Linked DNA regions of Cricetulus griseus. The protein of the gene in region 2 purifies or fractionates together with the protein of the main gene of each other region. This does not show direct contact. Links are inferred from orthologs where the notes say so. Each region holds a gene or a part of one and is shown on either strand. Other genes may lie near its edges.

What was found.
Region 1: the proteins of Nap1l4 (region 2) and Ncl fractionate together in Homo sapiens (co-fractionation; 3 studies listed by BioGRID). This does not show direct contact. The link is inferred for Cricetulus griseus from reciprocal best matches to the Homo sapiens genes NAP1L4 and NCL.

What each region holds. Positions count from the first base shown.
Region 1 is NC_048595.1:438,027,120-438,031,711, forward strand, and holds the start of Ncl (nucleolin), read right to left. Parts: upstream 3,091-4,592; 5' UTR 2,929-3,090; coding exon 2,911-2,928; intron 1,979-2,910; coding exon 1,862-1,978; intron 199-1,861; coding exon 1-198. UniProt on the Homo sapiens protein: Nucleolin is the major nucleolar protein of growing eukaryotic cells. It is found associated with intranucleolar chromatin and pre-ribosomal particles. It induces chromatin decondensation by binding to histone H1.
Region 2 is NC_048596.1:57,824,908-57,829,468, reverse strand, and holds the start of Nap1l4 (nucleosome assembly protein 1-like 4), read right to left. Parts: upstream 3,052-4,561; 5' UTR 2,929-3,051; intron 40-2,928; exon of another isoform or gene 19-39; intron 1-18. UniProt on the Homo sapiens protein: Acts as a histone chaperone in nucleosome assembly.

The DNA.
Region 1 (4,592 bases), on a different chromosome or scaffold from region 2:
TCCCTTCTTTCCAGGTGTTGCAACTGCTTTGGCTGGTGTAACTGCCTTCTTGGCTGGTGTGGCTGCTGCCTTTTTACCTGGAGTAACAGCAGCTTTCTTAGCTGGTGTGGGAACTGCAACTTTTTTTGTTTGTGAAACAACCACCTTCTTTGCTGGAGTTGCTGTAGCCTTCTTTCCTTTTTTCTGAGGGATGACAACCTTAAAAGTAAAACAAATAATAAGCACTTTCCGTATATCCAATGTTATTAACATACTGATACTAACTTTGAGCTCAACACTGGAATTAGGTATATGTTAAACCCTGGGGTGAAAGGGCTAGAGAGACGGTTCAGCAGTTAAGAGCCCTTGTTACTCTAGCAGAGGACCAACGGTCAGTTCTCAGCATCCACATGATGGCTCTAACTATAGTTCCAGGGAACCTAAGAGTTTTCTTCTAGCCTAAGTGCACCAGGCATGCTTAGTAGTACACTCATACAAATACAGATAAACACTCTAACCCTAACTCCAACACACTAAATCCTAAACCCTGGAATCAGAATACATGGCTTACAACTGCAGGTGCTTATCACACAAATACCCAAGTTTAAGAAACACTCATAAATGAAACTGGTCTCCAACTCCACCCCTACACATCAGCCTTAAGCAGAGTTATAACAAGTATGCATTTTATTTTCATTGAAAAATGTTCCACCAAAACCCAAATTTTGCTTATTACTAATATAGCTCTTCTAAACAAGAAATCTGAGCATAATGATTACATACCCCCAGCTTACCTGATTTCCAAGACTATCCCTACTTCTGCCTCCTGAAATTAATTAACCATGTCTTTAAATGAACCAACAAGTAGGAGTGCTAATAAGTACCAGATTCAGCAAACTGGTAAGTAGCAGCCTTCAATCCATATCTGATGTATTTTAAAAACTGACTTGCTCTATAAAAGCTTATATAATAGGCTAAAGCTTACTTTAGTGATAGGGATCAGCACTAAAAAACAAAACATGCATGACGGGAATAGGAGTAAAATAAATATAGTGATTCCTGAACTATTGAGACCCTGACTCCAATTCTCATCTAAATCAAAGCCCTAAGTTTCTTAACTAGCTTCATGCAATGACTAATGCCTTTATTCAGGAGAATTTTTGGCCAGACTGGTCTACATGTTGAGTTCTAAGACCACAAGGGTCATGTTGAGATCCTGATTCAAAAAACAAACAAACAAACAAAAAAAAACACCCGGGAATTTCTAGTCGTAATGTCCTTCTCACCAAACACCATGAAATCACGTGACCATGATCTGAATGAAAACAAATCAAACTGGATTAAACCCTGTTTTCCAAAAATGTAGGGAAAAATAACAGCCTACAATCAATATTCAATACAGCATGTGAAACCTGAGTGAAATTTACATCCCTCTCAAGTGGACTGTAATACTCTTATTTAACTACTCAATAGCAATAAAGAACTTGTCACTCAACTATTGTTATCATACTACTGTATTTTTTTTTTTGGTTTTTGGAGACAGGGTTTCTCTGTAGCTTTGGAGGCTGTCCTGGAACTCATTAAGTAGACCATGTGCGGCTTTGAACTCACAAAGATCCGCCTGCCTCTGCCTCCTGAATGCTGGAATCAAAGGCGTGCACCACAACCGCCCGGCTTTAGAATACTTTTATTAACACACATTCTATTTCTACATCTTTTTTTTTCTTTTTGGTTTTTGAGACAGGGTTTCTTGTGTAGCCTTGGCTGTCCCCGAACTCCCTCTGTAGACCAGGCTGGCTTTGAACTCACTAAAACTGCCTGCCTTCTACGTCCCTCTTGCTGGAATTAAAGGGAGGGCACCGCTGCCCTATTAGCTGTATACCTCTTCTCCACTGCTGTCATCTTCTTCATCTTCGGACATTTCTTCGTCTTCACTATCTTCTTCCACCTCTTTTGGAGGAGGAGCCATTTTCTTAGAATCGCCGTGGGTTTTGCCGGCCTACACAAGTGCACACAAAATCATGTCGATACCCTATTTGTAAGCCATTTTGCGTTTCGCCATTATCTTCTTTCTTAATGCCCACTGTCTATATTGTTAAAGGCCCTAAGCACAGGTGACATCATTGGCATTATTATATGTGGCAATCTTTCCTGAGAATCACCTATATAACTTGTCTTTCCCTTCCAGAGACAACTGAAGACAATCTACTAGTCATTCATTGCCCTTTGAATTTCACTCTAAATCATCTGCCGGGGCAGGGGTATCTATTTGGGTAGCCCCTTCTGGAGAGGAGCACGTCTTTCACAGAACCACTTCCGACGTCGCCACTCTGGAGGCGGGCCACGTGGAGGTACCACGCAGGCCACCACGCGCTCCCTCAGGTGTCCACCACGTGCTGGCCTGCCCGTCACGGACAGGCGCTGGGGATCGCCGGGGAACCCACCTAGCTCAGTCCCGCTGTCCCCCTCCCCGGTACCCCGCGACTCCCCGAGCCCGAGACGGGCAACACACGCAGAGCGCCAAAACCCACGTGGCGGGCCGCGCACCGGAGCACGTGCGCCAGGAGGCGGGGCCACGCCGGCGCCGGCCCACGAGTTGGGTCCCATCTCCCCTCGGCGGGCCTGTCGCCCCTTCTCCCCTCGCGGCGGCTCCGATCTCACCGCCCTACACACACACACACACACGCGCGCGCGCGCGCTCACACACACACACACCTCCCGGGACCCGCCTCGGCTCTCCCCCACCACCAAGTCAGGGGCCAAACACCGCGAGACCTCCCGCTAGTCGCGCGAGACTTTCCCCAGCATGGCGCCCTCGAACGCGCCCGGGATTGCGCGCAGGCCCTCCTCCCCTGAGCGACGCGCGCGCGCGCGCCCCTCAGAAAGCAGGCCCAGGCGTCCGTCCGCGTCGGCGCGCGCGAGGCCTCTCACCTTTGCGAGTTTCACCATGGTGGCGGGTTGCGACGACGGCGCGTGCGGCGAAGGGCGCAGCTCGGGAGAGCCTCGGGGAACCCACGCGAGCTGGGCGGCAGCGACGGGCACGGTGGACTCTGGAGCACGTACGAGCGACTGCCAGCTACAGCTAGCGTCTGAGGCAAAAGACTGAGCCTGCCCAGTAATCGCCTCTGGAAAGGCGACGACGGCGTCCTCGTGACCCCTCCTCCACCAACCAGAGCGCGCGTCCGTCCCCCTGGCCAACCGCGAGCCTTCAACCCAGGACGGCGTGGGGGCGGGGCTACGGCGTGGGGGCGGGTCCGCCGGGGGCGGGGCCTGACGGCAGCGCCCTGGGGGCGGGCCTAGCTCTACGCAAGGCGGACGTTGACTGGCTGGTGTGCGCGTCTTCTCGGCGAGCCCTAGCGGCTCGCCTTCGCCGCGCCTGCGCGGTGCAACGCGCCCGTTTGGCGCGGCTTGTGGAAGGGGCTCGGGGATGGCGGCGTGGCCCGGACGCCTCCTAGTGCTCGACTGCTACCTGGAGCTCCGGGCTCGCGTGGCCGGGGGGGTGGGGGGTGGTGGGTGGCCCGAGCATCCCCCGCGCTGCGGAAGCTGCGCCCCACCGTGGACTCCGCGGCGGCCTCAAGTGCTCGCCGCGCGTTCCCGCTGAGGAGCCGGAGAGCGCCGGAAGTTGAGGGCCTAGAGCCCACTGGGGCCAGCTCGCGGCCCTCGGCCTGCCCTCGGCAGAGCCGAGAACATCCCGGGGCTCTAGTGTTGCGCCGCGGGCCGCTGTTCTCCTGAGAGACAGCTCCCAATAAAGGCAGTTGCGTGCGTGTGTGCGCGCCTGTGTGCAGTGCTCAAACAGCTCGCTTAATGTCCAACCTCGCGCGGTAGATTTAACTCCTGATGGGGACGGTCTCGGAGAGGTGACTTCCTGGTGTGTGCTGGAGGAGTTTTTTGCCGGCCTGTGGCCACTCACGGTTTCCCTCAATGGCCTGAAGGACAGAGTTGCCGTGAGTGGATTAGACCTGTGTGTGGGACTTTGGGTTCCAGGCGTGGCATACTGGAGCCCTTCTAGGGTACCTCCTGGGCATCTAAAACCTAATTTTCTGCATAGTCAGGGTTCCGCCAACTGATGATATTGGTTGATAGATCACCTGTGGAGATTTTGTCGGGGATGTTGAGACAGGGCCTAACTATTTGCTCTTGCTGTCCTGGAGCTCACTGTGTAGACCAGGCTAGCCTCGACCTGCCTGCCTCACGCGTGTAGAGATTAATGCGTGCGCCACCACGCCTTGGCCCATCTCGGAAGATTTTAGTGCAAACAGGATGTGTTGGGTCCCACGTTTTCTATCTGAACACGGGTCTTTGGAGACAAGTAGAAATAGTTAATGCGTGATGCTTGTTACTAAGTCCTTCGCAACGCGGTGGAGGACACAGCTCCACGAAAATGCTCTATGGTCAGGGCATGAGGTGGGAACCAGTGCAGTGATGTGGAGGCTTTGTCTTTATAGAGACAGTGACAAGGGTCACACCTTGAGATGGACCCCAAGAGAGACTCCTGGGTAGAGGGACAGGAAAAATGATTGGTGTGAGCCAAGACCCTGGGTATTTCCAAGCAGAGGAGGCTAAAGGCACTTGGGAGGAGACAGGTGAGCTGTGAGATGACACAGATGGATCTC
Region 2 (4,561 bases):
GTAAAAGCATTCACCTACCTGCCTTAGACCTTCAGGGATTTAAACTACTCTTTGTGTATGGATGTTTTCCCTGCTTGTCTGTGCACCACTTGCTGAGGCCAGAAGAGGGCATTGGATCCCTGGAACTGGAGTTACAGAACATTAGGAGCCACCCTATGAGTGCTGGTACTCAAACCACTCTCTATCCAGCCCCTCTCTTGCCCAGACTTTTTTTTTTTTCTTCCAAACAAAAATTTTAGGCACTCTGGCAATTTTTTTTTTTTTTTACAAGCACAACACAAACTTTTGCACAGGCCTTAAACTACACAGCATGAAGACAGTTAACAGGGAGTTAGTACTCGCTCTTAGTTAGCTCTCACTTAACTAAGAGGGGAAAAAACTGAGCCAGGATCTTGCAGTGCTGCCAAGACTGACTTTGAAGTCTGAGCCCCAGAGCAGCTGGGATTTTTTTTTTTTAAGATTTTATTTATTAGCTGGGAGGTGGTGGCACACATCTTGAATTCCAGCACTCGGGAGGCAGAGGCAAGCGGATCTCTGTGAGTTCAGGACCAGCCTGGTCTACAAGAGCTAGTTCCAGGACAGTCTCCAAAGTCACAGAGAAACGCTGTTTCGGAAAACCAAAAAAATATATATTTATTATTTATACAGTGTTCTGTAGTCACACCAGATCTCATTAGGGATGGTTGTGAGCCACCATATGGTTGCTGGGAATTGAACTCAGGACCTCTGGAAGAGCAGCCAGTGCTCTTAACCTCTGAGCTATCTCTCCAGTCCTGAGCAGCTGGGACTTTAGATGTGTACTACCACACCTACCTTAGTTGGGACATTTTAAGATTCAAGCACAAAGTCAGACTGACGTGAAGTACTTCATCCCTAAGAACTGCATCTCTGTAAGAAATACTAATTTGTAAACTATTTTCTCAACTACAGAAATCCAAACAGCCAACTCACAAGCCATAATAGCCATACTTTCTGAGACCTCAGAATATATACATCTTTTCCAGAATTTTGGTGGTCAAGGTTATAATCCAAAAAACAATAAAATCAGTTATTATACATACTTGAAAAACAGCTCAAGATTTAAAGATAATACAGCCAGGCAGTGGGGGCATATGCCTGTAATCCCAGCACCCGGGAGTCAGAGCAGGTGAATGTGTGTGATTTCCAGACCAGCCTGGTCTACAGAGCTAGTTGCAGGACAGCTAGGGCTGTAACACAAGAAAAACTCTGTCTTGAAAACAAAAAATAACACTAACATATCAAAATTTAAACGTTTAAATGTTTTGACATTGTGAACCAATAATATTGGTCAACTTAGCCAGGTGTGGTGGCCCACGCCTTTAATCCCAGTACTTGGGAGGCCCAGGCAGACAAATCTATGTGAGTTCCAGACCAGCCAGGTCTACAGAGTGAGTGCCAGGTGCCAAGACAGGCTTCAAAAAGCTACAAAGAAACCCTGTCTCCAAGGAGGGAAAAAAAAAAAAAGCCTCCAACATCGTTTGACAGCAGCTACTTTAGACAAAGGCATTAAAATGCTGCAACTGGCTGGGCGTTGGTGGCCCAAGCCTTTAATCCCAGCACTCCCAGGAAGCAAGGCAGGAGGATCTCTGTGAGTTCGAGACCAGCCTGGTCTACAGAGCAAGTTCCAGGGCAACCTCTAAAGCAATACAGAGAAACCCTGTCTCGAAAAAAACAAAAACAAACAAACAAACAAAAAAAGATGCAACTGCCAAAAGCCCCCGACAAGTGAACCATCCCTTTGTCATTTTGGACTACATCCCAATCCTACCACTCTTTTCTTTGGATCTCACTGTTCATCTGCACACTGTTTATTTCAATAGCAACCGAGCCAGGTTAATTCTACTTGAGTTTAAATTCAAGCGACCATCACAGTCAAACCATCACACTTAACAGGGCTTTAATTTGCAGTACAGGCTGAACATTCCTATGCTAAAATTTCAGGACACTCCAAAGCCCATTTCTTTTAGAGTTTTATGCCAGATTTTGGACTTCCAGACTAGGAACGCTAATCTGCTAAACCTACATATTCCATAAACTTCTGAAACCAGGCGTTTCGTGCTAAGGCATACTCAGCCTGTTGCACCTATATCACAAGATTATTGTGAATGGAGTTAAAACACACGACAGGAGCTTTAAGGAGGCCCTGGTGTGTAGTAAGCAGAGATTAGTCACCGAGAGGAGGCAGCTACTATGACAGGAAGGCGGCAGTAACTAAAAAGCATGCAACTTTTAGGACCAAGAACTTCAACTTGGGCCTTTTTGCTGGGGAATTTGCATACGCCTGTTACAGCGGCGTACAAGCAGCAAACTACCACAGGGATTCCTCCGAGAAAGCTAAGCAGAGCTGGAGGAAGCGTAGGCCGACTGCTCCAAGGATACCCCTGGGAAGAAGGGGTACTGCTGGCGACCCTGCACCCTTGAGGGGCCCACAGTCGGGTCGGAAGGCTCAGTGTGTGTGTCACTAAATTGGCTCCGCCTCCACCGCAGGCTCGTTGAGTCGGACCAGGGCGGTGTGCGGAGACCATGCAAAGCCCGGAAGGGCGAGGCGGCGGCCAGACCGCGCGAACGCCGTGGACCCCTTCCTTCCCAAGCGCTGTTTCAAAACGAGGCGCACCCAGGCCCACCTCGCTGGGGAGGCCTTGTCCCCTCAGGGAACCGCCTGCGCGGCTTCGCGTGCGCTCTCAGGCGGCGGGAACAAAGCGCGCTGACCTTCAGCCGGGGGCGGGGCGGCGCGGAGGAGGGACGGGCCCGCCATCCGCCGCCACCCGGACGGCTGATGGGGCCCCGCCCGCCTCTGCTAGCCGCCATAGCGCGTCGCCCCGCCCGCGCCACCCACCCCCACCTCCGCCGCCCCGGCCCCGGCCCCTGACCAGCCGCCCGCCACGCCGTTACCCGTCGGGACCGCACCTCGCGCCTCCTGCGGCACTGGCTCCCGTGTAAAGCTCGCTCCGGGACTGCGCCGCCGTGGCCGCCAATAAAACCACCTGCCACTGGCCGCGTCGCCGGGCTCCGCCCTCTGCGAACAAAACGGTCTGTGAATTGGCAGTAGAGCTGTCTGTCAACTGCGCCTCGGTGATGATAGAGGCGACATCCAATCAAAAGCCGTTAAGCGTGCACGGGCCCCGCTCTCAAGCCCGCGAGCTATATGTAAATAGAGTCGTGACGTGTATTCCGGCGCACGCGCGGTGCCGCGCCTTTTTAAAGGGGCTGCTGGGGCGCGTGGAGGACTTAGGGTTATTTTTTTTTGTCTGTTGAGTCTTTTGCAACTCTTAATTTTTGCGTCCTGACCCTGTCCGCAGTTCTCTCTCCAGGTTACCTGCCGTCCCTGGCTTGGGGAAAGCACCGCCTACTTCCCAAGGCCTTGTGGCCCTCGGTCTACGGTGTCTGCCTGGCTTGGGGCTACCCTGCTCATAGGAAGAAACTTAAACATACCTGATTAAAAAAAAAAAAAAAAAAAAACTGCCTTCGGGGGCTGGAGAGATGGCTCAGAGGTTAAGAGCACTGACTGCTCTTCCAAAGGTCCTGAATTCAATTTCCAGCAACCACATGGTGGCTCACAACCATTCGTTATGAGATCTGGTACCCTCTTCTGGTGTGCAGATATACATGGAAGCAGAATGTTGTATACATAATAAATAAATAAAATCTTAAAAAAAAAACTGCCTGCAGATATGTGTTTTCCTAAAGTCTACAGACAGGGTCGTTAAAAACAAAGCTGTGTAGTGGGGTGTGCTAGATGAGAGGTGGTGGTGAGAGGATGAGCCTTTTGTCACTATCAACTAAGCAAGTTTGGGGCCAGCTACGTGAGACCTTGTCTCTAAAATAAAACTCAAAATGAAGTATGTTTGCTAAAGTCCAGAAGATTTACAGCGCTGAGTTTTACTATATTACTTCTCTCCCATCCTTAAATTGGGACTAGGTAATATATAAAGTTTCATTTACAGAATTAAGAAAAGCAAATAAGCTCATATATTTTTTACTTAATTTCTATTTGAGGATGGGTAGGAAGTGGCTAAAGCAGACAAGCAAAGAAAATAGTTTGGCAGTCAGGGACTCGATTTGGTTTGGGCTGTGCATACACCCATCTTCTAATACTTCACTTGGCAGTCTGAAAGCCCCTCACATATAAAATAATTTAAACCTTGTTTTTTGGGTTTTTTGTTTTTGTTTTTGTTTTTTTAAGGGGGGGTTCGAGACAGGCTTTGGAGGATGTCCTGGAACTAGCTCTTGTAGACCAGGCTGGCCTCAAACTCACAGAGATCCGCCTGCCTCTGCCTCCTGAGTGCTGTGATTAAAGGTATGTGCCACCACCTCCCAGTTTATACTTAGTCTTTAACTGTTGCTGTCAATTACGTCCTTTGAGCAACTGGATTTAGAGAGCCACAGGGTTACGACGACAACTCCTCTTACAGTAAGTAAGCCTAGCTTTCAGCAGCTTGCACTCATGTCTTACAGATGAACTGTCTTTCATCCAAGACTGTCTCTCTTGCTCAGTGCCTGCACTTAAATCCAAAGCCTGAGCTATTTATCTCTGTTTAAT